7 linked regions of the Bombyx mori genome follow. The protein of the gene in region 1 purifies or fractionates together with the protein of each later gene. This does not show direct contact. Links are inferred from orthologs where the notes say so. Each region holds a gene or a part of one and is shown in the gene's direction. Other genes may lie near its edges.

Evidence for each region.
Region 2: the proteins of exportin-1 (region 1) and regulator of chromosome condensation purify together in Homo sapiens (affinity purification with mass spectrometry; 3 studies listed by BioGRID and IntAct, with this or other methods). This does not show direct contact. The link is inferred for Bombyx mori from reciprocal best matches to the Homo sapiens genes XPO1 and RCC1.
Region 3: the proteins of exportin-1 (region 1) and armadillo segment polarity protein purify together in Homo sapiens (affinity purification with mass spectrometry; 3 studies listed by BioGRID, with this or other methods). This does not show direct contact. The link is inferred for Bombyx mori from reciprocal best matches to the Homo sapiens genes XPO1 and CTNNB1.
Region 4: the proteins of exportin-1 (region 1) and 60S ribosomal export protein NMD3 purify together in Homo sapiens (affinity purification with western blotting; 3 studies listed by BioGRID and IntAct, with this or other methods). This does not show direct contact. The link is inferred for Bombyx mori from reciprocal best matches to the Homo sapiens genes XPO1 and NMD3.
Region 5: the proteins of exportin-1 (region 1) and nuclear pore glycoprotein p62 purify together in Homo sapiens (affinity purification with western blotting; 4 studies listed by BioGRID and IntAct, with this or other methods). This does not show direct contact. The link is inferred for Bombyx mori from reciprocal best matches to the Homo sapiens genes XPO1 and NUP62.
Region 6: the proteins of exportin-1 (region 1) and histone deacetylase 3 purify together in Homo sapiens (affinity purification with western blotting; 3 studies listed by BioGRID, with this or other methods). This does not show direct contact. The link is inferred for Bombyx mori from reciprocal best matches to the Homo sapiens genes XPO1 and HDAC3.
Region 7: the proteins of exportin-1 (region 1) and nuclear RNA export factor 1 purify together in Homo sapiens (affinity purification with mass spectrometry; 3 studies listed by BioGRID and IntAct, with this or other methods). This does not show direct contact. The link is inferred for Bombyx mori from reciprocal best matches to the Homo sapiens genes XPO1 and NXF1.

What each region holds. Positions count from the first base shown.
Region 1 is NC_085118.1:10,175,493-10,180,104, forward strand, and holds the start of exportin-1, read left to right. Parts: upstream 1-1,531; 5' UTR 1,532-1,691; intron 1,692-2,018; 5' UTR 2,019-2,114; coding exon 2,115-4,612. UniProt on the Homo sapiens protein: Mediates the nuclear export of cellular proteins (cargos) bearing a leucine-rich nuclear export signal (NES) and of RNAs.
Region 2 is NC_085130.1:7,886,229-7,889,592, reverse strand, and holds part of regulator of chromosome condensation, read left to right. Parts: intron 1-377; coding exon 378-426; intron 427-1,233; coding exon 1,234-1,379; 3' UTR 1,380-3,364. UniProt on the Homo sapiens protein: Guanine-nucleotide releasing factor that promotes the exchange of Ran-bound GDP by GTP, and thereby plays an important role in RAN-mediated functions in nuclear import and mitosis.
Region 3 is NC_085116.1:12,310,547-12,314,444, forward strand, and holds part of armadillo segment polarity protein, read left to right. Parts: intron 1-726; coding exon 727-918; intron 919-1,201; coding exon 1,202-1,316; intron 1,317-2,510; coding exon 2,511-2,665; intron 2,666-3,898. UniProt on the Homo sapiens protein: Key downstream component of the canonical Wnt signaling pathway.
Region 4 is NC_085115.1:7,001,343-7,005,670, forward strand, and holds the start of 60S ribosomal export protein NMD3, read left to right. Parts: upstream 1-1,431; 5' UTR 1,432-1,562; coding exon 1,563-1,618; intron 1,619-1,726; coding exon 1,727-1,861; intron 1,862-2,401; coding exon 2,402-2,552; intron 2,553-3,271; coding exon 3,272-3,515; intron 3,516-4,211; coding exon 4,212-4,328. UniProt on the Homo sapiens protein: Acts as an adapter for the XPO1/CRM1-mediated export of the 60S ribosomal subunit.
Region 5 is NC_085134.1:6,717,743-6,722,393, forward strand, and holds the start of nuclear pore glycoprotein p62, read left to right. Parts: upstream 1-1,479; 5' UTR 1,480-1,656; coding exon 1,657-1,723; intron 1,724-1,910; coding exon 1,911-1,967; intron 1,968-2,248; coding exon 2,249-2,350; intron 2,351-2,837; coding exon 2,838-2,965; intron 2,966-3,553; coding exon 3,554-3,632; intron 3,633-4,006; coding exon 4,007-4,131; intron 4,132-4,651. UniProt on the Homo sapiens protein: Essential component of the nuclear pore complex. The N-terminal is probably involved in nucleocytoplasmic transport.
Region 6 is NC_085122.1:11,622,315-11,626,792, forward strand, and holds the start of histone deacetylase 3, read left to right. Parts: upstream 1-1,434; 5' UTR 1,435-1,759; coding exon 1,760-2,000; intron 2,001-2,783; coding exon 2,784-2,972; intron 2,973-3,189; coding exon 3,190-3,464; intron 3,465-3,820; coding exon 3,821-4,008; intron 4,009-4,435; coding exon 4,436-4,478. UniProt on the Homo sapiens protein: Histone deacetylase that catalyzes the deacetylation of lysine residues on the N-terminal part of the core histones (H2A, H2B, H3 and H4), and some other non-histone substrates.
Region 7 is NC_085124.1:4,529,593-4,534,231, forward strand, and holds the start of nuclear RNA export factor 1, read left to right. Parts: upstream 1-1,579; 5' UTR 1,580-1,964; coding exon 1,965-2,022; intron 2,023-2,237; coding exon 2,238-2,831; intron 2,832-3,154; coding exon 3,155-3,345; intron 3,346-3,780; coding exon 3,781-3,890; intron 3,891-4,639.

The sequences.
Region 1 (4,612 bases):
TTTTACATTCTAATTTGATTGTAGAATATACTTATAATAGGAATAAATGCTAAACAGGATCATATGTAATATAACAGTTTGATTTTCAAATTAGCTTGCGTGTTTTTGTTTTCTACCTATGCTGATATCCTTGAGAGGCTATTTCAGCTTCTCCTTGTAGTTTAGCTCACGAGGCTCAAACCGGTAGTGTTGCCAACACTGGCCCTAGCAAGTTGAGTGATGGTATTTACTATCTTCTATGAGTTTTATTATAAATTAATCTTTCGAACGGTCATGTAAAGGTTGGGTACTTAAAAATTACAAAAATAATTCAGTCGCTACTGAATTCAGTAGCAAGGATGGTTTCTGACTGACTAAATCATTTAGAAGCCTAATTAGAAATGCATCTAGGAAGGTGTAATCGCATTTAGTTACTTAATGGTTTCAGTCGTCCCATAGCTCTCCGTGCGTAAGAACGTTTTAGTTTGTTTTTTGCTTCCGAATAAAAAGTATTGATTTCGGTCGCCTTTATTTAATGTGCCAGACATTTATAAATAGCCCGACATGTTTCAGGAATAGTTTTTGTCATAAAGGGTTGGGATATTGAAAAACTAAATTTTAAATCTTGATACGTATTTCCTGTTGCAAGAAATCTTCATGTTACAACCAATCTTTCTTTTGGACTTATAATATCGTAGGATTAGATATGTAATAGTTATAAAATAGATATATAATAGACTATCGTAGGATAATATCCTGCTTTTGAATAAACGGTGTCACAAGTTTTAATATTAGGTCAAACGAGATCGAATCCATTTATAGATAATTTCTGAAGTCTGCTGGTTCTAAATCACTCTAATGTTCATATTTGCTAACATTCCGCACAGCAATAAATATTTCTTTACCGATATTCTTGTTTTTTTTTTGAGAAATTGAAATAAAAAATAAAAACAAAAAATTTGTTGTTGTCTAGACAATACTGGGGCCATCCTCTTACGCACACGACACGTCTTACTTCGTCGCGCTTAAACTGACAATTGATTCAGTAACTGAATTTAAAACAGTTTAATCAGAAGCTTCTAAATTTGCTTCTGAAGTCAGTCGACTAAATTCAGCCAAGTGTAATAAGCCTTTAATCACAAAATACCATAGATAAAAAATACCATAGATACCAAAAACTAAAAAAAATAGTTTATTTTTCACAACTTACAATGGCAACATAAAAATTATATAAAAAATATTAGCATACAGCCTAGCAAGTGAGATAAAAAGAAGTAATATCTCAATAACTTGTGGTTAAATGTAATTGTAGTTGGTGTTGGTTGGTGTAAATTTGCTGAAACTTAACGGACTTGAACAAATGAGATGGGAAGCTACACTGACTTAACTTGACTTACAACTTAACTTCACTTAACTTAAAAAGTCCATATTTCTGTTTTTGAACCCAAATTAGCAATAGAATGAAGTGAATAAGTTTTTCTTATTAATTAGCTTTTAATTTTAAATTTGCAGAAGATTTCTCCACTAAATTTTAAAAGAAATCACATTGAGTAAACTGTAGTCAATGCAATGCAACGTTCAACAGGAGTTCCGCACTAGTATTTTCTATGACCATAGACTAAATGTGTAAGCTTTTTCAAGCTTCATGAAAACAACGGATTAGTATGTATGGTAGTGCGTTAGATTGATTGCGCCGCAAATTATTTTCTCGGGTAAGTGATTCACTTTTTAAGTTATTGAAAAATTACAATTCTAACGAGTATCCCTACACTTAGTACACGTTTTGTGATTAGTGTAATGAATGTACTTGTAGTAAAATCTGCAACAAGATTGCGGGGTGTGTGCTCTATTTAGTGGTTTTAAACAATTAATGATGTAATTGCCCAGTTTGTAGTTAAATGCTTAACCGAATTATAGTATTAAAAGTAGTTTTTACTAGCATAATTGTTAAGTCGGTGTTTGTTAAACAAACAAACAATTAGGATATGGAGGTTAGAGTCAGTAGAGTCTGTTAACACAGAGTTTTGTTTCATTTTCAGTGTTGTATAAGGTGAGGAATGAATGTGGATTAATCAAAATAATTTTGATTTTGGAAAAAAGGGAACAAATTAACTAAATAAATATATTTTACCAGAATGGCAACCTTAGAACAACAGGCATCTAAACTTTTGGATTTCAATCAAAAATTGGACATCAATTTATTGGACAACATTGTTGGCTGTTTATATTCTGCTGTTGGGGATCAACAACGTGTTGCTCAGGATATACTGACTGCTTTGAAGGAACATCCTGATGCTTGGACTCGTGTTGATACAATACTTGAATATTCTCAAAATCAAGAAACTAAATATTATGCATTACAAATATTAGAACAAGTAATACTAACGAGATGGAAAATATTACCAAGAAATCAGTGTGAGGGTATAAAAAAATATATAGTTGGCCTTATCATTAAAAATTCATCAGATCCTGTTACGATGGAAAGCAACAAAGTTTATTTGAAAAAACTAAACATGATCCTTATTCAAGTTCTGAAAAGAGAATGGCCCCATAATTGGGAAACTTTTATCAGTGACATTGTGGGTGCCTCAAAGACGAATGAAAGTCTCTGTCAAAACAATATGGAAATATTCAAGTTGTTGAGTGAAGAAGTATTTATGTTTAGTACAGGCCAGCTCACACAAACAAAAGCTAAGCATCTAAAAGATACAATGTGTTCAGAATTCAGTCAAATCTTTCAGCTATGCCAATTTGTCTTGGAAAATTCACAAAATGCACCTTTAGTTGGAGTGACCTTAGACACTCTTTTGAGATTTTTAAATTGGATTCCACTTGGTTATATTTTCGAAATGAAATTGATAAGCACATTGATATTTAAGTTTCTGAACGTGCCGATGTTTAGGAATGTAACATTGAGCTGTCTTACTGAAATTGCCGGTGTCACAGTCAGCAATTATGATCAGCAGTTTGTTTATTTGTTTGTACAAACTATGGAACAACTTGAAGTTATGCTTCCTCTAACTACAAACATACGTGAAGCATATGTAGCTGGTCGAGATCAGGAACAAGTTTTTATTCAAAATCTTGCACTTTTCTTATGCACATATCTAAAAGAGCATGGTCCGCTCATAGAAAAGAGTGGATTAACAAACACTTTAATGAATGGTTTGAGGTATCTTGTCTTAATATCAGAGGTAGAAGATGTAGAAATTTTCAAAATTTGTCTTGAATATTGGAATGCTCTTGCTGCTGATTTGTACAAAATTGCGCCATGTTCGTCAAACTTGTACCATTTGGGTAAAAGTGGAGGCCGAAAAGCTTTGTATGCTGATGTCTTGAGCAGTGTTCGGTATATTATGATCTCGAGAATGGCAAAACCAGAAGAGGTGTTAGTTGTTGAAAATGAAAATGGTGAAGTTGTGAGAGAATTTATGAAGGACACAGACTCCATTAATTTGTATAAAAATATGAGAGAAACATTAGTTTACTTGACACATTTAGACTATTTAGATACTGAACGTATTATGACAGAGAAATTACAAAATCAAGTAAATGGTACTGAGTGGTCATGGAAGAACTTGAACACATTATGTTGGGCAATTGGATCTATTTCTGGAGCTCTATCTGAGGATGATGAAAAGAGATTTTTGGTTATTGTGATTAAAGAGCTTCTAGGTCTCTGTGAACAGAAAAAGGGAAAAGATAACAAAGCTATAATTGCTAGTAACATAATGTATGTCGTAGGACAATACCCACGCTTTCTTCGTGCACATTGGAAATTTTTAAAAACCGTTGTCAATAAACTTTTTGAATTCATGCATGAAACACATGATGGTGTCCAAGACATGGCGTGTGATACATTCATAAAAATTGCTATAAAATGCCGTCGACATTTTGTCACTACTCAAGTTGGAGAAGCCTGTCCTTTTATTGAAGAAATATTGGGCACCATTAGTACTATAATTTGTGATTTACAAACATTGCAAGTTCACACTTTTTATGAAGCTGTTGGATACATGATCAGTGCCCAAGTAGATCAAGTAGCCCAAGAACTTTTAATTGAAAAATACATGCTTCTGCCTAATCAAGTTTGGGATGATATTATATCTCAAGCTTCTCGTAATGTTGAAATCTTGAAAGACCCTGAAGCTGTTAAACAACTTGTAAGTATACTGAAAACAAATGTGCGTGCATGTCGTGCACTAGCACACCCATATGTTGTGCAATTAGGAAGGATATACCTTGACATGCTTAATGTTTACAAAGTAATGTCTGAAAATATAAGTCAAGCCATAGCTTTAAATGGCGTAGCAGTTACTAAACAACCTCTCATTAAGAATATGAGAATAATAAAAAAGGAAACTTTGAACCTTATTTCAAGTTGGGTTACACGCTCGATTGATAACAGTATGGTTTTGGAAAACTTTATTCCACCTCTTCTCGATGCTGTGCTTTTGGATTACCAAAGGACTGCTGTTCCTGAAGCTCGTGAGCCTGAAGTACTGTCTTGCATGGCAGCAATCGTGCACAGACTTGAAGGACATATAACTTCTGAAGTACCAAAAATATTTGATGCAGTCTTTGAATGTACTCTGGAAATGATTAACAAAGACTTTGAAGAGTATCCAGAACA
Region 2 (3,364 bases), on another chromosome or scaffold:
TTCCAGAGGTCTTTTTTGCCACGTACTATCCGGCTATGGAATGAGCTCCCCTCCAAGGTGTTTCCCGAGCGCTATGACATGTCCTTTTTCAAACGTGGCTTGTGGAGAGTATTAAGCGGTAGGCAGCAGCTTGGCTCTGCCCCTGGCATTGCTGAAGTCCATGGGCGACGGTAACCACTCACCATGAGGTGGGCCGTATGCTCGTCTGCCTACAAGGGCAATAAAAAAAAATCAACATATTGATATTGTTTTCTTTTAAACGTCGGTTCATATTTATTGACACGGTAAAATTGAACTAAAATTTGATATCTACTAGAAGTAATATTGTGCTGTTATATGTCATATAATGATTGTGTGTTTGTTTGTTATGTTTCCAGAAAGTGAACGGAGATGAGAAAGAGACTCCCATGGAGGTTGATGAAACTGGTGAGTGATATTTAGTAGTCGCGTCCCGACCGACAAAACTGGGGCAGTAAGGTCAGGGGTTGAGTTCGGTGAGCTTGGGAATTGTTTAGACAATAATAACTGCGGGTGCAGAGTGGACGCGGGGTATGGGGAGCACCGCAACATGAGTACCACAGTCTTCAGGTCCAATAGTAACGAAATAACATTTGTCTTTTATGGCATAAATAGGTAGACGAGCTCATAGCCTGTCTCGCGTTAAATGGTTACCGGAGCCCATAGACACTTATAACGTAAATACCGCCACATACCTTGAGATATATATGAATTACAATGTCTCAGTATAGTTACAACGGCTGCCCCGCCCTTCAAACCGAAACACATTACTGCTTTACGGCAGAAATAGGCGGGGTGGTGGTACCTACCTGCGCGGATTTACAAGAGGTCCTACCGCCAGTAACGAGTCAACGAAAAGTAGTGTCTTTAGCGTGGAACTTCACTGTGTAAATACTGGTGTAATACCGCTCTACTATACATGTTTATTATATAATAAATAATATACTGTTGGTAGGAACTGTTGTGAGTCCGCGCGGGTAGGTACCACTGCCCTGCCTATTTCTGCCGTGAAGCAGTAATGCGTTTCGGTTTGAAGGGTGGGGCAGCCGTTGTAACTATACTGAGACCTTACAACTTATATCTCAAGGTGGGTGGCGCATTTACGTTGTAGATGTCTATGGGCTCCAGTAACCACTTAACACCAGGTGGGCTGTGAGCTCGTCCACCCATCTAAGCAATAAAATATATATATATATATTGTTTGGCTTACAACAGACGCGGTACAAAAAGAGAAATCATCCGAGGAAGACGAGGCAGACGAAAGAGAAACGAAACCTGAGGAAGAGTCTAAGAGCGAGGTGCCGGAGCCGCGCGCCAGGCAACCCGACCCGCACAACGGCACGCACGCGCCCGCCTGCTGAGCGACGTCGCCCACCACGGCACCCAACTCCAGCCACAAAAACATTCATTCATTGTAAACGTTACAGATCGGAACGGTTGACTGATTATTGAAGTGAAACGTTGTGATTTCAAACTCGATGAAACGAAAAAATAAGTCCATAGAGACACAAACACATGATTGTATAGGATTTAGCCGGCGAGAGAATGAGATAGAACACATTAGACTCTTCGTGGCATCCCCACTATCGTCTACTAAACATTGTCCATATGTACGCTCCTGTGTAGTGGGATACTCAGGTTATCTATATCTTATTTATAAGTTTCACTTGTACCGTGTGGGACTTACACACACATACACACTTTTTTTTGTTATTGCTCAGATGGGTGGACGAGCTCACAGCCCACCTGGTGTTAAATGATTACCTGAGCCCATAGACATTTACAACGTAAATGCCGCCACCCATCTTGAGATGTAAGTTCTAAGGTCTCAGTATAGTTACAACGGCTGCTTCACAGCTGAAATAGGCAGGGTAGTTATACCTACCCGTGCGGACTGACAAAAGGTCCTACCACCAGTGAAAATTTGTGTACTAAAAACACGATCAAAGATAAGTTAAATCTGTCGAGACGAGTTAATATCTGTAACTGGAACTGTTATTTTAGATCGATTTTTTAAAAAGTCTTAATTACAACTAAACAACAATAGTAGAATTAAATCTTATATCACTAATTTATTAATTAGTCTGATATCAAAAAATACATTTTTAACTTGATTTTTGCGTATTGAAGCCTTAAAAAGAATAATCAGTCAACAGTTTCGCTTATAATTGTTTCTTACGGATTCAACGAGCCGGGGACGCGATCAAAACTACTTTTATTGTAGTACGTTTGCATTGTCATGTCCATTGACATTGTTATTTTCTCCATCGCAGCTGGTCACGGGCGACGACCACGAGAACTGTAGAAGTAGCTTTGATTGCATCCTCGTCGGATGAATCTTGTGAAGTGACCTGAAGGTCAATAGTTTGGGATCCTGTTATTATTTCGATCGTATCTAAGAATTAGTGTTTTGGACGTCATTCGGTAATTTGGCAATATGGTCGACAGTTTGGGCTTAGTTCTGTACAGGGCTCTCGTGGTGACATGTCAGTGGCACTGGCGATGGTTGGGCCGATATCATTAACTCGTCTGACGTGTGCATGCGAACATTATTCTGTCGTGACGATAGACTCATGTGTAAAAGATTTTAAGAAATATCCCGAAATTCGTATCAAAAGTTTTACATTTAATTATTATTTAAATTCATTTTTTTTTTTTTTTTTTTCCTACCTATGCTGATAGCCTTGAGAGGCTATTTCAGCTTCGCCCTAACGTTAGTAGGTGAGCTCGCGGGGCTCAACCGGAGAGAAACTAACTAACCCACAGACACAGCCCACTGAGTTTCTCGCCGGATCTTCTCAGTGGGTCGCGTTTCCGATCCGGTGGTAGATTCTGCGAAGCACTGCTCTTGCTAGGGCCAGTGTTAGCAACTCTCCGGTTAAATTCATATTAACCGTTCTAATACAAGGTTCAGACGTTAAAACATTTTCTTTGTATCGTCAATAATTAATATTTTCCACAATCCATTTTAGCTTTTAAGACACAATTAGTATATTTAGAATCGCATTTCTTGTCTTGAAACTGCAGATTCTAATATTATTTTGTTTTACTATCAAAATTCGCTAATGAGCTATAAGACTCTAACAGCAGTATTCTAACTACTTATGTTAAACAATCGACCTCCATAAGAGACTATAAGAATGATAATTTAAAAAAAAACTATGCTTCAGCGTAAACTATTTAGTTGTGTATGATCGTGCATTAGGAGATAAATGAATATTTGTCGGTTAGTGGTATCGCCACAACCTGAGCAATGGTCCCAATGAAAATGTGCTTGTGGTATAAGAACTAACATAAGACGGCTTGACAACAAACAGATAACTAAAAATGAAAATAATATATTTAT
Region 3 (3,898 bases), on another chromosome or scaffold:
GTAGAGAGAATCAAGAAGATGGTTTAACTAATCATGGTCGTAAAGATCACACCTAACTAATAAACTTTTTTTTATTTTTATTGCTTAGATGGGTGGACGAGCTCACAACTCACCTGGTGTTAAGTAGTTACTGGAGCCCATAGACATCTACAACGTAGACGCGCCACCCACCTTGGGATACAAGTTCTAAGGTCTCAGTATAGTTACAACGGCTGCCCCACCCTTCAAACTGAAACGCATTACTGCTTCACGGCAGAAATAGGCAGGGCGGTGGTGACTATCCGCGCGGACTCACAAGTGGTCCGACCACCAGTAACTACTACCAAATAAAATGAATAAGAATTTGTGAACGCAATGGATTTAAAGAAAATATAATACCTACCTCAGATTCGACCATTCGACCCAAGACATCACCACCCAGAGTGTATTAACTACAATTTCACTCACACTATTTTTTTATTGCTTAGATGTGTGGATGAGCTCACGGCTCACCTGGCGTTAAGTGGTTACCGGAGCCCATGGACATGTACAACGTAAATGCGGCACCCACCTTGAGATATAAAGTCTCAGTATAGTTACAAAGTTACAACGGCTGCCCCACCCTTCAAACCGAAACGCATTACTGCTGTACAGAAATAGGCAGGGCAGTGGTACCTACCCGTGCGGATAAGAGGTCCTACCACCAGTAAATATTTACTTATATTCAATTATTATTTACCAATATAGCAACGCAGCTCTTCGGGCGGTGGAGCCAATACTGCTTACGCTGACGGCGTTCGTATGGAGGAGATCGTGGAAGGCGCCGTTGGAGCCTTGCATATTTTAGCCAAAGAAAGCCACAACAGACAACTTATCCGACAGCAGAACGTCATTCCGATATTCGTGCAACTGTTGTTCAATGAGATTGAAAATATTCAGGTTCGTGTTATTCTTCTATTGGAAACTTTTAAAACTAAATTTGAAATAATAATAATATAACACTTTATTTAACGCTATATGTACAGAGTAAGCATATAAAACAAATAATAGTCGGTGACATAAATTGGCGGCCTTATCGCTGAAAGCGATCTCTTCCAGGCAACTTTGCAGGGAGAGGAATAAGCGAACTGGATTGTGCTATATCTTAATAAACTTACATTAAAATATATACTTATATACACATGAAATGTGGTACTTATACTCATATGAACTTTGTAAACAGCGCGTTGCCGCCGGCGTGCTCTGTGAATTGGCCGTAGAGAAAGAAGGAGCAGAAATGATCGAAGCCGAAGGGGCAACCGCTCCGCTCACTGAATTGCTGCATTCAAGAAATGAAGGTTGGATATTAGTATAATACTACTAGCTTTTGCCCGCGACTTCGTCCGCGTGGAATAGTTACTTTGGCATAACGCTAAATCTTACTCGCCTCTTCATTTACGTAGAAAGGGAAAATGTTTTTGATAAAATAGAATGTTTTAAATGGGAACAATTTTGTCATACATTATTTTAGCGTAACTTTAACCGTTCCCGCAGCGCATTCTTTATTGGTCTTAGCGTGATGTCATATAGCCTATACCCTTCCTCAATAAATGAGCTATCTGACACTGAAAGAATTCAAATTTCAAATCGGACCAGTACTTCCTGGGTAATCACGTTTAAACAAACAAACTCTTCAGCTTTATAATATTAAGTATAGATGTATAATAAACACGCAGCTCAGCAGAAAATTTGCGAATATGTTTCGAGTAGATGTTATTTCAATGAATATGTATTCGCTCTCGATTTCGAAGCGAAACTGGGGTTATCAGAATAGAATCTTTGTAAATTTATGCCTTAACATAGTGTTAAAATCTATGATATTTCCTTCGATAGACCACATTCTCCCTTTAATCTTTACATTATTTTCTCATACATTTAGGTACATGTCTTTAAATATGTTAGTAAATTTAAAACAGTAATAATTGAAAACACCAGATAGTAACCAATTTTTATTTTATACTGAACAATCCTTCATAAGAACTTTGTGTGTTATTTATTTATTTATTTAGACACACCAACAGCAATACACACAAAACATTCAAGCTTAAAATTAACATGTATAAAATTAAGTACTGTATGTAAGTCAGTTACAGGCATGTACAGCAATCTCTTATAACACATTATGACATGTTACAGCAATTTTACAAACAGCTGAAAAATAGGCTAAATTTTAATGTTAACAGTACGACAAAAAACAACAAAAAATTAAAAATAATATGAAAACAATAGTTAACTACTTAACATTCTCTCATCAATTATAAACAAAGGAACTTTGATACTAGTTTGTTTTTGAGACCAGGACACGTATCGTTAAAAATGTCGATGCCGTCAATTAATGCACATATTTGGTTATATTTACTACCAATCTTTGATAAAGGGGAATATTTAAGGAGGTTTGTTCTACTTGCGGGAATATGGAAAATTTTAGTGATGGAAGAAACATGTAACATTGTTAACATATCTCTGAAGGAGTTGATGTGTGAATATTGCAGGGGTCGCCACGTACGCTGCAGCCGTTCTGTTCCGCATGTCCGAAGACAAGCCCCACGATTACAAGAAGAGACTCTCTATGGAATTGACTAATTCGTTGTTCCGCGACGATCACCAGATGTGGTCCAATGACCTTCCGATACAATCCGATATACAGGTGAGTTTGGTCGGTTATAACTAGGAGTGGGTAATATCGGTTTTGCCGCGTATCGAATCGTATCTATATATCGAGGATCAATATCGGATATTGAATCTATATATTTTCTGAATCTATATATTGATGGATGCTAGTAGATTTTCTCGATTCATGATATTTGAGATTTGAAACGATACGCTGATATAATATCGTAGTAGATATAGATTTAAGTCAACGTTATACGGTTGGTTTTCTGATATCAATTTATAATATGATCTTAAAGTAATAAAAAGAACATGAAAATAAAAATATCAAAAAAACTTTCTTTCATGCTTTTACCAGGCTTAGGACTGGCTACATTATTTTCAGTTTTTAGTATTTTGTGTCTTAATTTCAAATTACAAAATATACCAAAAGAGTGTAGATTTCAAAAGTTTAATACAAACACAAGAAATAAACTCAATTATTTGGATTCAACTAAAAATAAAAAAATGTGTACTTTAAAAATCAAACACAAAAAACTTTTAAGTATTTATAAACACTTGTCCAAAAATTCTAGTTCAAGGTCAAAGCGCGTGAAATTAAATTCAACGATGCAAATAGGCTATACTGCATTCAAGTTAGGGTCGAAAGTTGAAACTTCTTTCCTTAATTGTATCCTGCTGATACGCTAAGAATAATCTACAGACATATGGACTTAAATATAAGGTTTACAATTGTATGGATAATGCCTGTTTCTGTTTCATTCATCACATGATATCCCTATCGTGCGCTCACTCACTCTGGCCGATTCGATACGAACCAAACGAATATTGCCGATATTCACGAATCGGTACGATATGCCGATGCGCATCACATCGAGCAATATCGTGTATCGGCTGATATCGATATATGGATTTCGTGCGGAGCGATATCGGATTCAACGATATTGCTGCGATATATAGATATTGAATCTATATACGATTTATATCACCCACTCCTAGTTATAACTGATATTGGTGCTTAAGTGTTGCCTTGTCGAGTTTTTCGATGTCTATGAACTAAGTCGACGCTTGAAAGGCAAACATGACTAAGTGACTTTAGCAGTAGGCAGCCGCTTGGCTCTGCTCCTGGCATTGCTGAAGTCCATGGGCGACGGTAACCACTTACCATCAGGTGGCCGTACGCACGTCTGCCAACAAAGGCAATAAAAAAAAAACGACAATGAGTGAACTTTACAGTAGACTAATTTAAAGTTGAAATACCTGAAAAATA
Region 4 (4,328 bases), on another chromosome or scaffold:
ATGGGCGGATGCGAGCGGTATGAGGTACGAGGGGGGAAAGGGAAACCAAGAGTAGGCACAGGCACATAATGAACGTGTATTTAAAGTATCTATGGGTTTGCAATGCATGTTTTATAAGAATTTTAAAAGTTACGAAAGGAATTAAAAGTGATTTTGAATTTTGGTTTAAACATTTTTAAGTCTTGAAACTTTTTGATGGGTCCATGAAAGCTAAGAAGACGTAAAAATTTGTCTAGATCTGATAAAGTCGCGAAAGCAGTTTGAGTCACTTTGATTCGACACATTCGATATGAAATTGAATCTGAAAATTATTTATTTCGCTTCGAAATACATAGAAAAAAATCGAACTGGTCTGGATTCAAAATATTATGCACCTGAAGCTACAATAAATATGGGTGCTATTTGGACTATAACCATTAATAGCGTTAACTAGAATTTTCTGGATTCAAAATATTATGCACCTGAAGCTACAATAAATATGGGTGCTATTTGGACTATAACCATTAATAGCGTTAACTAGAATTTTCTGGATTCAAAATATTATGCACCTAAAGCTACAATAAAATATATGGATGCTATTTGGACTATAACCATTAATTGCGTTAACTAGAATTTTATTAAGACTGAGGAGCTAACGTACTATTTACAAGACTAGGCAAAAATGTAGCCAAGGCATAGAAGGTATTTAATATGTCTGAAAGTTTGGCAAAATTTATAGTAACAACAATTCTACAAATCGTATAAAAAGGGTGGAACCCAATACCAAGTAGGTGATGTGATGCCTATTACGGTCTAGAAAATCTAACTTGGCTTTAAGGCTTCAAAATGCATAAAATGATCCTAATATTCTAACCCTAAGATCCTAATATTCTTGGAATTGCACCATCATGAGCATGTCAAACGTGTCATTGATCAGTCTGTTCTAATATTTACCATTATAGCTTTCAAGTGATGGTACCCACCCGCGCGGACTCACTAGGGCCGTTTTCCAATTACAGCACAAGAGCGCATTATGCGGCATAATGCTCAACCAAGCTTCAGCATAATTCGGCACTGTGCGTCACTGAGTCGCATTATGATTGGAAAACTACCATTAAGTAATGGTTAATTACAGAGCATAATGCGACTCAGTGACGCATAATGCCGAATTATGCTGAAGATTAGTTGAGCAATATGCCGCATAATGCGCTCTTGTGCTGTAATTGGAAAACGGCCAAGAGCTCCTACCACCAGTAAATATTGACCATCATTTTACTAAGATTATATTTCATCCCATATCATCTCATCTCATTTAATTTCATTTCATTCCAGTTGATTAATGTCTTAAATTAATCATCTTCATTTCATTTCACTCCATATCATTTTGCATAAAAATATGAATATAAATTAAAATAAAACATGACTTAAAAGTCTTAGTTATCAGGTCATAAAATCCCTAAAAAAAAAGAAAAAATGAAGAGGTTATGTTCGTACAAACCTGCTGTTATTGGTCTACTGTGAAAAGCATTTTTCTTTAAACAGTGACTAGAAACTAAATTTTGTGTCGCGTGTGTTGAGTCTAAATGAAGATGGAATACTTTGCTCCAGAAAACGCTTCTTTAAGCAACAATACACGAATGTATGTATGAATAGGAGTTTTAGTGATTTATGTAAATATAGGATTATTAAACACTATTACACTTCGAATAGTTTCAAGAGCACTTAGAAAATAAAATGTCTATTACAGATTGTGCTGTCAGTGTGCTGTACCTATAGAAGCAAACCCCTCAAATATGTGTGTAGCTTGTTTAAGGGCTCATGTAGACATCACAGATGGAATACCCAAACAAGCGACATTATTCTTCTGTAGGGGTTGTGAAAGGTAATATTATCTGATTAAGACAGAAAGAAGTTAAAAACGTGGATAATTACACTGAATTTGAAACTGTGACAGTAAACAGTCTTACAATTTGTTCTGTCGTTATATTTTCTGAGAATCAGCTGTACTTACTATTAAGTACTATAATTTAGATCTTCTGGCAGATTCTCTATATCTATAAGGAGATGGTGAATAATTTGCTTCTTGCACTTATTTCACATTATATGACCCCTTATAATGGCATGTGCAATGCGGCAGCCCACTATGTCTTCTTATCATGCTGCATAGGGCATCAATTTCACCAGAGATTTGCACTGGCCGTCTGCCTGACGTTAATCCTCGTTTGGGTTTAGCTCCAGTAGCAAATCCATTGCAATAGCGAGAGACTTTCTCTTTCTTCTTTTGATGTTTTATAAAATAAATATTAATGAAGTCAGTAAACACTTGTTGATTATTTATAAACGTGAAACTCTTCACAATTTTGCATATCATCATTGAAAATATATGTAATTTTCAAGTTATATCATCAAAATTTTTTTTTAGATATTTGCAACCACCCTCTGAGTGGGTTGTGTGTGCATTAGAGTCACGTGAACTCTTAGCTCTCTGTCTCAAGAGATTAAAAGGATTGAGCAGAGTTAAGTTAATTGATGCTGGTTTTGCTTGGACTGAGCCACATTCGAAGAGAATAAAGGTATTTTGATGATTTAACTGTCTTGAACTGTCAAATATGTTGTTTGCATATATCTAGAAGTATCCAATAATAGTGAGAATACTTCCTATCCAGTTTTAGAATTAAAGTGAGAAAGGTTTCAAGTAATGATTAACATTAATTGTATTGATTGAGAATAAAGAGTTCAAAATGAGTATTAAAATTCATAAGAAAATAAAAGTTAAAATAAAAGGAAAATATATTAAACAGATATTATCAATATGTTTCAGTCAGTCTCAAATATATTCACAAATGTAATTATTAAATATAAGGACAATATTGCTCATTCAATCTACGTTGTCTGAAATTACTGGTTCAATAATTAAAAATTTTCGCATACATTTTGCAATATTGAATATAAATAAATAAGTATCCAAATAGATTACCATTAACATTCCCAAATTAAATACATTTCTTTATACAAACAATAATACTTAGCCATTAGTGTATGGTCCAGGGCAACATTTATTTGGTATTGAGAATGGTTCTCATTCTAAGACTTAAAAAGAATACAACTAATATACTTATGAATGCTGTGTCACCAGCTTACATTGATATTATGTAACAGTGACCAAACAAAAATATTAAATATAACTTTTTTTGCTAAAACTATAAATGCAGTAATTGTTATCAGATATTTTGAAGGTTTTTTTTAAATTATTTCTATTTTGATGTTGCTATTAAACTCTTTTGAATTTTAGGTAAAACTAACTGTACAAGGCGAAGTTATCGGAGGAGCAGTGCTCCAGCAGACATTTATAGTTGAATTTACAATTCAACATCAAATGTGCGATGCTTGCCATCGTTCAGAAGCTCAAGATTACTGGCGTGCTTTAGTGCAAGTACGACAAAGAGCTAATAACAGGAAAACATTTTACTATCTTGAACAATTGATATTGAAGCATAAGGCTCATGAAAATACTCTAGGGATCAAGCCCAAGCATGGTATGTAAAGTTTTCTAAAACTTGCCTTTTATCACAATAGAATGCACAAGATTTATCTGTTAATTAGCTTTTGCCCGCGACTCAGTCCGCGTGGAATAATTACTTTGGCATAATGCTACATTTTACCTGCCTCTTCATTTACGTAGAAATTGAAAATATTTTTGAATTATAGGATGTTATTTATTGGTGCTTCACTTGTATTGGCCTTACCGTGACGTTAAATAGCCTATAGCCTTCCTTAATGAATGACTTATCTAACACTGAAAGAATTTTTCAAATCGGACCAGTAGTTCCTGAGTTTTGTGCGTTCAAACAAACAAACTCTTCAGCTTTATAATATTAGTATAGATTGGCATATTGTTATGGTATTTTTAGAACTCTTCAGATTTGTAGAATCAATACTGTAGCTGATTTTCCTTATAAAACATGGGAAATAGATTATTTCATAAAACAAAGCATCACTGGTAGCCAGTGATTTGATATTGTCATTGTCATAGCTGTTCATCATAGGTGAGGGCGATCACTTCAGACTCTAATGGCGGTAAAATAAAGACCAAACTCTAACACTAGTGTGAATACTGATATATAATTTTAATCTATAAATGATATTATTGATATGAAAGAACCGATACCACTGTTTTCTCGGCAAATCTAATTATGTTTATTGTCAATTATCATATTTTTAAATAATTTCAGATGGACTAGATTTCTTCTATTCAACAGAGAATCATGCGCGCAAAATGGTTGATTTTATTCAATCTGTTCTGCCTATAAAATGTCAACATTCCAAGAAACTAATTTCGCATGACATAC
Region 5 (4,651 bases), on another chromosome or scaffold:
CATCTAAATCATATCATATTTGCACATAACAATATACCTACTTACTTCCCATTAAAGTATAAATTCTACAAATAAATAATACTCAACAATATTTAAAATAAAATGAGCCAAGAACGTTTATCGATAAAACCTGATAACATTGAAATCTTTTGTACAGCACTAAAGCCGCCATGTTTTGTGGCCAGATGACGTCACAGTGGCACGAAATTTTGGTTGACGTTTCATTTCCATAGGTTTCCTACTTCATTGGTCACTATGGAACCTACGAGAATAAGTACGGCAGATAAAATATTAAGTAGGTAGGTATGCAGGTAGTCAACTTACTTTGAAAACTTTACGCCTCATATTTGTGCACTTGTATACAATGGATTGTTATTCAAAAAGTTTAAAACCACACACACCACGTCTGAGATAGTTTTTTCTTTTCTTCTCAGTCGTACACTCCTAGCGGAGTGGTCGTGGTTATGTACGTCTTATTTAGACATTTCCATAACTCTCATGCGAAAATAGTAGCAGTGGCTTAATAAAATAAATATAAATAATTAAAATAGTGTTCTGATATAGTAATGCGAGCATGAAACACGAATCTACCTGCCGAGATAAACAGTGGCTAACAAGGTAACCAAGGGCCCCAGGGCAAATAAAAAAATGGGGCCCCACTACTATGTAAGCGGATTAGGTTTTATGAAATAAAAATAATATGAAATATACAAATACTTTAAAAATGCTAAGCTACTTAAGCTCTTTTTTTGATTGCTGACGTGGCAACGCATCGCCATGCACAAGCGACTGTCTCATTTTATTATTGTATTTTTCATATTCCACACCAATTTTCTATTCTAAGCTATCCATATAAACATCTATACTTGTACAAAGTAATATCAATGTTTCAAATCTACAAGCTTTACCGCGATGGCTCGTTTTTTCCTTTCCTTTGGAACACACCATCAAACTCGACTTTGGAACAAACTTGCTTAATTCAGGATGTGGCAAAAGATATGGATGATTTCATCTAAAATTGTTATTGTTATCATCCAACTGATGTTATCAAAAGCGATTTAAAGGTATGGAAGAGATTGCCTTTAAAAATCACATACAGTAAATTGATTTGAATTGAACAGAGTATAGAGAGTTGGATTGGAAAGATAATTTACGGTTTCACATTTATCGTTAGGATTCATATTAGGTGACGAGAAAAAATGGGGTAATTAAACATTGTTAGGTATTTTTTATACTATGTACTATAAGAATATAGTTTTAGCTTTTAAATGCCTTATCTTTCTTCTTTTGCCACGATTATCTTTCATATATTTTTCCTTTCCGACACTCATTTTCTAGAATTGGTTGCGATGAGAACACGGGAAAAAATATGCTTGCAATCTGCCTGGCTTGAGATCTCACACAAGGTTTTCAATTCCAGTTTAAATCAATTGGCTACGTTTCTTTTGCCAGTCTGATCGGACATAACAAAAAGTGACTTTTGACACATTGAAGTTTGAACGAATGATTAATATCTCGATAAATCTTACTGTTGGTAAATTTTCTAACGGCGGCAAACAGTAGTGCTTACTAAACATTTATTGAAATATCTAAATATACATACTTCCATCATTTAAACTATTTTACTTTTACATAAGTTTATCTATAGTTTACAAAATGAGTTTTTCTTTTGGAACTACTACAACGTCGTCTAATACTTTTGGTACACCAACACCATCAACAGGTAAATTCTTTTTGGTTTGATTATCATGTTCCAATTTGAAGCTTTATAAATTGAAATACTCTACAATACGATTCGAACTACGATATATATGTTTTTTTAAACAATAATTAAATTGTCAATGTAAACAATATAACCACACTTTTTTCACGTTAAGATCAAAAAATTAATTAATTGGATGTAATTACAGGATTTTCATTTGGCAGCGGTGACGCTTCAAAGCCGTTATTTGGTGGATCCAACACAGGTACGATGCGTACAAAAACTTCCGGTAACAAATACAAGCGATATTTTAAATCTGAATTTTTCTGTTACAAGTAACAAAAATAGACAGTAAAAATTTAAGGGACTAAGGGAATTTAAGGCACCACTGTTAATAAATCAAGATTTATTAACAGTGGTGCTGGTTTCTTAAACCAAGAGACATGGATATTTTCAGAAAAGATGAAGTACACTCATTAGATATCCAAACATGAATCGAATCCCAAAAGCATATAGAAAATGCAAATAATATTTTTAATCTCTCAGAAAACAAAGCAACATTCAGCTTCACTAGTCCCACAACAAGTGCACCAGTATTTGGCAGTTTTGCATTTGGTGCTAAAACAACAAATGCAGCACCTTCACCATGTAAGTAATGGCCTTTGTTTACTTAACGCTGAATATACTGTATGGTTGTAATTAAACCATAGCCAAAAGACATGCAAAAGATATTTAAACAACTATTAACACTCCTAGCTGACATGTGAAAAATTATTTAAAAAATTATAATTATCCCTCAAAGGGGTTCTTAAATGATCAATATTTCATAAATATTTATTTACACTCAGATCCTATGTTCTAAATACAATTTTCATACAAGTTAAAGTTAAATTAAACTCCAGGAATGAATCTAACACTAAAATAGAATTGACCTACAAATAACAAAATAACATAGTGCTTAATCAAAATTATCACCACACTACTGAATCACAAAATGTAAGAGCCTTGAACCTTTCCTGCCCTACTCTTTATAGACAATGAGAACCTACCTGCTCAAAAAGAGGCTTACATCAAACATTACGAAAAACATTCTACTCATAACAAATGCCTCTCACACTTATGTATTGTATGGCAGTTTCATCTCCATCGACAACGACTACAACTGCAGGCTTTGGAGCGAATAAGCCAACACCCTTTGGAGGTTTCACTTCACCTCCTAATCAGACAGTTGGCAGTTCTGCCTTTGGGCAAGCAACAAATCAGGTGTGTACAGTAATTTTGTTGGGAGCCTGTTAAACAAACTATTCGTCAGTTTGGTGTGATGTCTCCAGCTGCGTTTATCGATCAATACTGTATTTTGCATTTCACCAAATTAAGTGGAAAAAAAATCAGTTATATTTGTAAATTTTACTGGTGGTAGGACCTCTTGTGAGTCCGCGCGAATAGGTACCACCGCCCTACCTATTTCTGCCGTGAAGCAGTAATGCGTTTCGGTTTGAAGGGTGGGGCAGCCGTTGTAACTATACTGAGATCTTAGAACTTATATCTCATGGTGGGTGGCGCATTTACGTTGTAGATGTCCATGGGCTCCAGTAACCACTTAACACCAGGTGGGCTGTGAGCTCTTCCACCCATCTAAGACATAAAAAAAAAAAAAAACAATGTTCTGCCATTGTTAAATTGTTGTGAAAAAAATGATATCTTTTCTTTCTTAGTTTGAGAATGCTTACATTCTACTTATCTTTTCTTTCTTAGTTCGAGAATGCTTACATTCTACATAACTCTTATATGTCGTTCACTGTGCTCCTTTGCATGTGTTAATGCCTTGTAATGCTAGTGAATATTTCACAGAATGCAGGACAGGCCCAGAATCTGTCGTTTGGTGCAACCACCACAGCACCACCGGCATTCGGTACACCTGCCACACAAGGTTGGTTATAAATATAATAATATTATAAATTTATTATTATAATGAATATATAAATGATATTATACTAAAATGACGATTATAATGGTAACACAGCTTAAGACCTGGATTGACAAATATAATTATTTTGACATGGCAGATGACATGGATAATTATAAATTTAAAATTAAAAAAAAGGATAATAATATTGCTTTTGTAAATGCACTAGCGCTCAGCTTTTGCTATTATGAAAATTGGACTTAAAGTTCAGAAAAGTTTTAAGTCATTGTTCCTTACAAACGAAATTTATAATTACTTCACCAGTACGTCTTGCTTGCATCAGTAATAAAGTGAACAGAAATTTTAAGAAAAGGAAATGTATGAACATGTTGTTTTAGCTGCTGCCCCAGCATTCGGTTCCAGTGCAAATACAGGTTTTAGCTTCGGGAAGCCGGCATCAACGACAGCTGGCTTTAGTTTTTCAACACCTACATCTGGTTTCTCAGCACCGCAAGCTAGTACTGTAAGTTTTTGTTACAATCCCAAAAAAGAAATCGTTTTTAGATCATCTCCAGTTAATTCCTTTGTTTGTCTGTTATTTTTGTTGTTAAGTTTAAGGTACAAAGGTAACTATTCTAAATCCAACTTCTGATTACAATAATTTGTTGAAACCAGGAGACAATGTCAGTCTGTATATAGTAGTTACCTAGTTGTAAGCATTAACACTACACTGTTTCTGCTGCAAAGTAATCATGCACTCTGATTAAAATTAAATAGTTATAAAAACTATTTTACAAAGGTAATTGAAAGCCTTATAGCTCAAAGTGTGCTCCAGGAAACATTTAGGATTAGCTAACATTAGCAACAGCTCAAACGTAGCCAGGTTGTGTTGGTATTAGGGCATCTTCCGAGCCCACAAGGATAGGTACTACCCTGCTAATTATCCTGTTTGGAGAGTGGGGCAGCTACTATACTACAGAACTGAGACTTACAGCTGATGCTTCAAAGTGTGTGGTGAAATTTACATTGTTAATGTTTATGGG
Region 6 (4,478 bases), on another chromosome or scaffold:
AACGAGATTTATCAATGTCAGCTTCAAGCTGTTGACTACGACTGCAAGAGCGGTCCGTGTATATTGATCAATGGCGATCTGCTCGAGTAGCCCGTATATGCCGGCTTTAAGGTGTTATTCTTCGACATTTGAATACTGTTATGTTTTCGAATTTGCTTCATGCGAGATTAAATGGTAAAAGTAGACAGATTTAATTATGTCTAAGATTCGCCTAAGCCGAAGAGAATACTCTTTAAATATTAAGTGTGTTATCTGTGGAAAATACTATATTGTTTAAGTTTCTATTTTGGTATGTAGATATTGATAAAACCGCGTCAAGAAGGATGAGGCAGCATTACCCAGTAAAAAGTTTTAGTTTATCGCGCTGTAGTAGGTAGGTTCCTATCTATTCTTGTCACCTTATGATAAAGAATTGCAAATTTTAAGTATCACTAATTACGTAATTTTGCAAATAAAATAAACTAACAAACATCTAGAATGATCTAGCACCTAAAATATAAATTGATTTTCATTGTAATGTAGTTAAGAAGAACTGTGAGCTTAAAAAATATGACAGACTTACCTAATATACTGAAAAAGCTATTCTTGAAACAAATGAACAACTGTGTTCAAGTTTTTGTTAAAGTAAAGGTAGATGCAGATTTTCAAAACAAAAAGTTTTGACAGGTTATAAAATACCGGACCGTACCGACCACAGGTTTTTTAGTTGGGTTCGTGTATTGGTAGGCAAAGGGAACACAGAGAAATTTACTGTGACAAGAACAAAATTGCTTCTGTAGTGTGAAAAATAAAATGATATTATATATCAAATAAAACAATTCATGCATCTTTACACCATATGTTCACGACAAAAAGTCTGCAGCTTCTATGAGATTTTGATAATTTGATACTTTGTTTATCAATAATCTTTAATTACTAATGAAATTCTACGACTTCGACTAAATTTAGCTTTGCAGCAACTCACAAGCACAGTTTTTTTTGCATCTGTTCATCGAGTCGTGTTTCAGCATGCTCAAAATTTACTTTGTACGTAAATTATACTTCACTCTCAAACTGATGAAAGAATTTTTTATCGTATTCCCGTCTTCTTCTTTCCTTTTTCCTTATTTGCACGAGCTAAGCAGGTGGTGCATCAACCCAACGATAGCGTTTTTCAAACATTCTTGACATTCTTGTTTATAAGAGTTCTTGAATGACTTATCTGGCCGTGTTTCTCGATTCAGTACGACGCGACGCGACGTCTCTTATGAATTATGAATAAGCTGAGATTTCCTCTTTGTTTAACATATACGTGGCGTAATAATCTAATCAATGTAAGTTTCTCATTTCCAGAGTAGAAATAAAATTATTAAAAATATACAAAGATGCTTTCAATCTTAAAGTTAATAACATAGGCCTCTATGTTCCTTTTGCCTATCGAACTAGAAATGACGAAAAAAATATGCCAAAACTGAAATGATTACAAATTGTGTCACATTTCACAATTTACAAGGAAGAATCAAAAATTATTCATAAATAAAAACATACCTTTTAACACAAAAAGTACTAATATCATTAGTATTATTAGATTTCCAAAAAGCAGTTCTCGATAGTTAATTATAATTAAAGCAGTGATGACTTTTGCATCATTGTTAACGCATTATGAAGCGGCAGCATAAATCATGCTCGGCGACGTCCAGTTAACGAAGCGTTTAATAGTGATAGTTGTCATTTTGAGTATTATTTTTGTGTTGAAAGAATTCGTATTTGTTTATCCACTATGACTCAACAAAGGGTAGCGTATTTCTATAATCCGGACGTGGGTAATTTCCACTACGGTCCAGGGCATCCAATGAAACCACACAGGCTGGCTGTGACGCATTGTCTCGTGTTGAAGTATGGTCTTCATAAGAAAATGCAGATATATAAGCCGTATAGGGCCAGCGCTCACGATATGTGCCGTTTCCACAGCGAGGACTACATAGAGTTTCTGCAAAATGTAACTCCTCAAAATATACAGAGTGAGTTGTTTCAATGTGCCCCCGGAATGATTGAAATAAGAATGCAACATATTGGACTAATTTACACTGTCATTTCTAAATATTATATCTTCTTAGACACTTTTGTCTGAGTTGTGGTTGTGCTGAAAATGCATATGCAGAAGTATTTGTTAGGTTGCCCATGTTCCAGAGGATTGCTCTCCTGGGGAAGCACTTTCTTATTTCTATCAAATATTCATACGAAATATGTATATGAAGTTTTTAATTTGAAGTAAACTGCCACTGCCACTTTTGAGTTTTGTGTAAATTAGGTAAATTAGTTTTGAAGATATATACAGTTTGTGAGATTATTCTAAAATACTAAAATAACACCTTGCTACAAAGATTTGGTGTAGTTTAGTTTAAATGGCAGTACAGTTTAACCAACCAGATTTTAAGTAGACTAGGGTTTAAGGGTGGTGTTGTGGTGGTAGCCATCATACATTACCCACTCAGTGGAAGAATTTCCCTTTGTCGTATATCCCTCCATACTGGTGACCCCGACGTGATATTACTTGGTAGACCGACGTTCCAAATGTTGTTGTCCGGAACTTGTATACATGCAAGTTTATTTTGAAAATGTTGTAAGCGAGATTCAGGCATCTGTCAAATATCTTCTGTTGTATGATGGGTACCGCCACACTGCTATTCAAATTGTGATATTTATTGGCTCTTAATTATTGGAGCACAATTGGCCACAACCAGGATGAGGCTTTTGGGCTCGTCCATCAATTTAGAGTTATGACCCTTTATTTCCTATTATAGGTTACTCAAAAGATCTTTTGCACTATAATGTTGGAGACGACTGTCCAGTATTCGAAGGTCTTTTCGATTTCTGCTCAATGTACACTGGAGCTTCATTGGAAGGTGCTATGAAGCTAAATAATAACACTTGTGACATTGCCATCAACTGGTCTGGGGGCTTGCATCATGCAAAGAAATTTGAACCTTCCGGTGATTATTAAATGTTTAAATTACTTAGGGTATATGAACCTCAATTTTAATTATTTCAAAATGAAATTTGGTATTTTTATGCAAAACTGAACACATAATGTGATTTTTTTATAACCTTATGTAACAAGTTAAGCTTAATAAGTGGTGATCTTGTTTTCAATATTAAATAGATTAATTCACTTGTTAAGATGTAACAGAAAGGTTGTTTTTTTTCCAGGATTTTGCTACGTCAATGATATAGTAATAGCAATTTTAGAGCTCCTAAAATATCATCCAAGGGTTCTGTACATAGATATTGATGTTCACCATGGAGATGGGGTTCAAGAAGCTTTTTACCTCACTGACCGAGTCATGACGGTTAGTTTCCACAAGTATGGGAACTATTTCTTCCCTGGAACGGGAGATATGTATGAAATTGGTGCAGAGAGTGGACGATATTATTCGGTAAATGTACCACTGAAAGAAGGCATAGATGATCAAAGCTACATACAGGTCAGTTTGGATGATTTATTATCTTAATTAATAGAATGTTTTTTTTTAATCAACAGTATTTATAATAGTTTTCATCTTTTTTTTTATTGTGTATATGGATGGACCAGCTCACGGCCTACCTGGTGTTAAGTGGTTACTGGAGCCCATACAACATAAATAATGACCTTATAACGGCTGCCCCATCCTTCCGACCGAAATGCTTCACGGCAGAAATAGGCAGGGTGGGGGTACCTACCCGTACAGACTCACAATACGTCTTACCACCAGTAATTACGCAAATTATAATTTTGCGAATTTGATTTTCTTCTGTATAGTGTCTTCTGTATAATATAGATCATTCTTTTAATTGAATAAAGGTATTTAAACCAGTGATCTCCTATGTGATGGAGTGGTATCAACCTACAGCGATAGTACTGCAGTGCGGTGCTGACTCGCTGGCTGGCGATAGGCTTGGATGCTTCTCACTCTCAACTAGAGGTCATGGCGAGTGTGTGAATTTCGTTAAAAACTTAAATGTGCCAACCCTGGTGGTGGGCGGAGGAGGGTGAGTATTCTTTATTATTTAATGATAACTAAATGTTCATAAATTGTTATTGACATGATAAGTAATTTTTTTTTTATTGTTTATTGGTGGATGTGCTCACAGCCCACCTGGTGTTAAATGGTTACTGGAGCCCATAGACATCTACAGCGTAAATGCGCCATCCGCCTTGAGATATAAGCTCTAAGATATCAAGTATAGTTACAAAGGCTGCCCCACCCTTCAAACCGAAACGCATTACTGCTTCACGGCAGAAATAGGCGGGGCGGTGGTACCTACCCGTGCGGACTCACAAGAGGTCCTACCACCAGTAATAATTAATAAAAAATATCAGAGCTTCACCCCTTTTTATCTCTTAATCATTAAAATGAACTGATAACATTAAACAACATGATAACATTAAAATGAATGAAATGATTTGAACTTGCAGATATACCTTGAGAAATGTAGCTCGCTGCTGGACTTACGAGACC
Region 7 (4,639 bases), on another chromosome or scaffold:
AATTTAGATGAAAACTCCAATTACTCTTCATGAATTTATAAATTAATTATAGGCTATCAGAACTAGTGGTCGTCGTGGCCTAACGGATAAGACGTCCGGTGCATTCGTGTTGAAGCGATGCACCGGTGTTCGAATCCCGCAGGCGGGTACCAATTTTTCAAATGAAATACGTACTCAACAAATGTTCACGATTGACTTCCACGGTGAAGGAATAACATCGTGTAATAAAAATCAAACCCGCAAAATTATAATTTGCGTAATTACTGGTGGTAGGACCTCTTGTGAGTCCGCGCGGGTAGGTACCACCACCCCGCCTATTTTCCGCCGTGAAGCAGTAATGCGTTTCGGTTCGAAGGGTGGGGTAGCCGTTGTAACTATACTGAGACCTTAGAACTTATATCTCGAGGTGGGTGGCGCATTTACGTTGTAGATGTCTATGGGCTCCAGTAACCACTTAACACCAGGTGGGCTGTGAGCTCGTCCACCCATCTAAGCAATAAAAAAAAAATAAAAAAAAAAAAAACTTAAAAATGGTTCCAAATACTGCACATCCATAAAAAAGTCTTTATCAGAAGAGGAAGATAAGGAAGGCGCAGTATTTTTACCACCTTTCCTCTTTTTGCCCTGCGTACTAAATACATCTCTGTTAGATCTGCCTTCAGCAACAATTCGTCTTATGGTAGTATTTATTTATTTATTTATTTATGTGCGTTCCCCTGACGAGTCATTGTCAGGGACATTTTTTATGCTTATTTGCTTTTTTGATAAATTTTATTTTTCACCATTTGTAATGTTAGGTTCGTATTTCGTTCTTTTATAATTTTCGTTTCTCTGCTTATTACTATAACCTGGAAAAACCAAAATCCGGTCGTCCAAGATTTTCGAGAACACTCGAAAACGTAGACAGTGTTGCCCAGTCTATTCGGGACGATCTGAACCTTTCAATTGAGAAGCGTGCGGTGGCCTTAAACGTGCACAGATCGTCGTGATGCCCTATTTTGCATAAAGATTTAAAACTGCACCCGTACAAATTCAGTTGGTGCAAGAATTAAAACTTCAGGATACTGGTCAGAGGTCAATTTTTTCCTGGCAAATTGATCTCCAGGAGAGGTGACATAAGTTGGCCTCCACGCAGTCCCGATTTGACATCTATGGACTTTTTCCTGTGGGGTTATATCAAATCCAAAGTTTACACCAACAAATCGACTTTCACACACAATTAAAAGAAAATATCTATCACGAAAGCCATCACGGAGAACACCTGCCGAGCCGTCATAGGCAATTTTAGTGCTCGATTAAACGAATGCCCTGAACGCAACGGTTTACATTTCGACGATGTCATTTTTAAAAAATAAATTCCAAAACAGTGTATTTTAATATGTAATAAACATTTTTTCAATAAACTCCTTACTTTTTTTAAAATTATATTTTTAAATATGACATTTCCTTTGAGACCCTTCCTTCGTTTTTTTTATTATTCATAAACTATTTTCAATAATTAAAACAGCGAAACATAAAAATCTTTTACTTGACGCTGGCTAATGCACAAACCGTACGGAGCCAAAAATAAAGACGAAGTGTAATCCATAGGTTATACAGGTGTATAATCTACAAATGTCGCCATCCATTTTGTTTCACATTGAAAAAGAACAGGTTTAAGATTCACAAGAGAGACGCTATTTAGTTTTTGGTGATTAATTTTGGAAATATTTGGATTGCTAATAACGTCCAAATATATAATTTAACTAACCATACTTAAAATTTATTGAGTGTAGGGTAATTTTACACCATCAAAGTTGTTTAACTCTTTTGTAATTTGCGTTGTTAATTAAAAAAAGCTATTATTCAATTATCATTGGCTTTATCTCAGTTAACTATTCTACACGCATGTGAGAAAATAAGGAAACCTTAAAGAACTACTTTCACGGTATTTGTATACTGGTGATTAAAGCTTCTTCGACACGATGCCAAAACGTGGCGGTGGAAGGAATAGAAATTGGAAGGCTGATACTGACCATTTTGGTAAGTGGAACACTTTTATTTATATTCTGTTGTGATTTTGTAGTTCCTACAGTGAATTATCAAAAAATAATGTATTCCATTGTTGTTAGCGCTACTTATGTTTAATACATAAAGGCAAAATCATGCATCATAAAGTTCATGATACCAATGAATAATATATGAGTTTTTAAAGTTATTGACTATTAATACTTGATTTACAAATGATATACTTTCAGAACACGATGACCGTGTCAATAGTGTGCCGAGACATGTCAGTTTTAAACCTGGAGCTAAAGGAAAAAATAAATTTCGAACTTGGAAAAATCCTTTAGCCCTCCTTGATGATGATATTGACATGGGTAGTTCTGCTCTTCAAGGACCGGTCCGGAAAAGTTCTTTCAGGGGACGTGGGAGAATGTACTCTCCAGCTCCGCAAGGAAGCCACGGACACACTAAAAAGAAATTTATTCCTGGTGTACTGCCTTGGTACCAAATAATCATTCCATATGGAGCAAAACATGAAAAAGATGTTATCCTCCGAGCCTTGTTGGGTTTTCTTTCACCCGACATATTCATTCCACATTACTATAAAGTCAATGGAAATGCTGCAGTATTCTATGTTGATGATGTCAAAACAGCTGAAAAACTTTATAATGCTGATAGAAAGATCACTATGTCAGATGGTTTTAAGTTAATTGTTATTGTGAGGAATGCTGTTCCAAACATGGCCATTGACGCTGCCATGAAAGAGAAGATGAAATTGACAATGGCGAAGAGGTATAATGCTACAACTAAGGCATTAGATTTAACAAAATTCCATGCTGATCCAGGTGATTGTCCAATTATATTGTTATTGCTTTACATATTCATTATTTACAATACATTCATTGCAATGTCTAAAATTCAACTTGTTAGTAAACAGCTTAGTAATACATATTATAATTTCTTTTTCATTCAATTAGAGATATAATAAGCTAGACTTTTGGGAATAATTTCTTATGGGCCCACATAAGCTATAATCTATTTAAGAGCGCATACTGGTTTGCCCTTTTATAATGCAGCAATGTAACAACAATATTTATAACCAGTTATTTTATAGAATGTAAAGACAATAGTTTTACTGGGTGAATATTGAAATAATACTATTTTTCAGATCTAGAAGATATATTTTGTGCACTGTTCCGTCCAATGATAATGTTGGCTGCTATAGATATAATAGCAGAGAATATTCCAGACATAGAAGCTTTGAACCTAAATGATAATAAGCTTCATGGTTTGCAGCATCTCAAGGTTTTGTCTTCAAAGCTCAAGAATTTGAAAATATTGTATATGGGCGATAATAGGGTAAGACAAATACATTTACGACAATTTAGACCAGTGTAAAATTTCAAATGACTGATTCATATTCATATCATCATCTTCAGTGCACATTCCTATCTAGGCATAGTTTGAATAGCCCCACAAGCTAACAGTAATTAGGTAGGATACAAAATCCCTATCTACATTTGACAAATAAATTTGTGGTTTTTTTTTTCTTTATTATATACCCCAACTAACAATCTTTGCAATTAATTTGTTTTCACATGCACTATATCTGATTGTTAAGGTAGACATTTTTCTCAATTTTGTGTAGTGTAAGTATTTTTCTACTAACTCATCATTTGCATTACATTAGTAAAATATAAAATAAATGTAGTAAACGAAAGACATCTTTAAAAATATATGAATGCTATTAAAAAACCAATAATGTACATTAATTATCATTTAAACCTTTTCCAGATTCCATTCCTTGGATCACTGGACCCAATCAGATCATTACCGCTAGTTGAGCTATACCTCAAAGGAAACCCACTGGTGAACAGGTTTCATGATCACGAAATCTACATAAGGTAACGCTAATGTTGTAGACAGTATCTTTGGGGTCACACCCCAAGATATTTTGAATATCCTATAACACAGTTTACCATTAGCGTTAAGCCATGGAAACTTGACAGCTATATAAAATCAAACTGTGGCAGTACTGTTGCTGAATTGTGCTTGTTTAAGTAGATGAAATGAGTAAAGATGTTTTTTATCATAAGTTAAATTTGTGATAACATATATTATATTCCTATACTGTTTATAACAAAATCAGTAAAATATCCCTTAATAAAATATACTTATAGTTGACTAATCTTTTTAAAAGACATAATTTTACATAGCAAAAAATTGGCAGGATAATTCCATAAAATTTCTTGGGAAATGTCCCAACAGACAATGAGCCTTCTTATTTCCATATTCCCCTGACTCACATATTTATCAGAGTATTAAAATAATTGATACAAAATAGTAACATTTAAAAATATTTACCTAGGAATAGGTCACTCACAGCATTATATGTAAAAATGGCCCAACTGTTTAGTAATCTTGGAAGAGTTTTAGTGCAGTGGTATGAGACATAATATCAAATATGTGGAATAATTTAAAATCAGACTCATCCCCATTGTACATTGCTGTTATGAAATTATATTAAAATTATTAGTACTTGGGCTTCACTAAGGAAATTGGGTATTCTATTGCTCATTATTGTTACTTTACTATTTTAATTTTATTTGAGGTTACCCTGCATCCTGTGTACTATCACTCCGTATAACCTTTT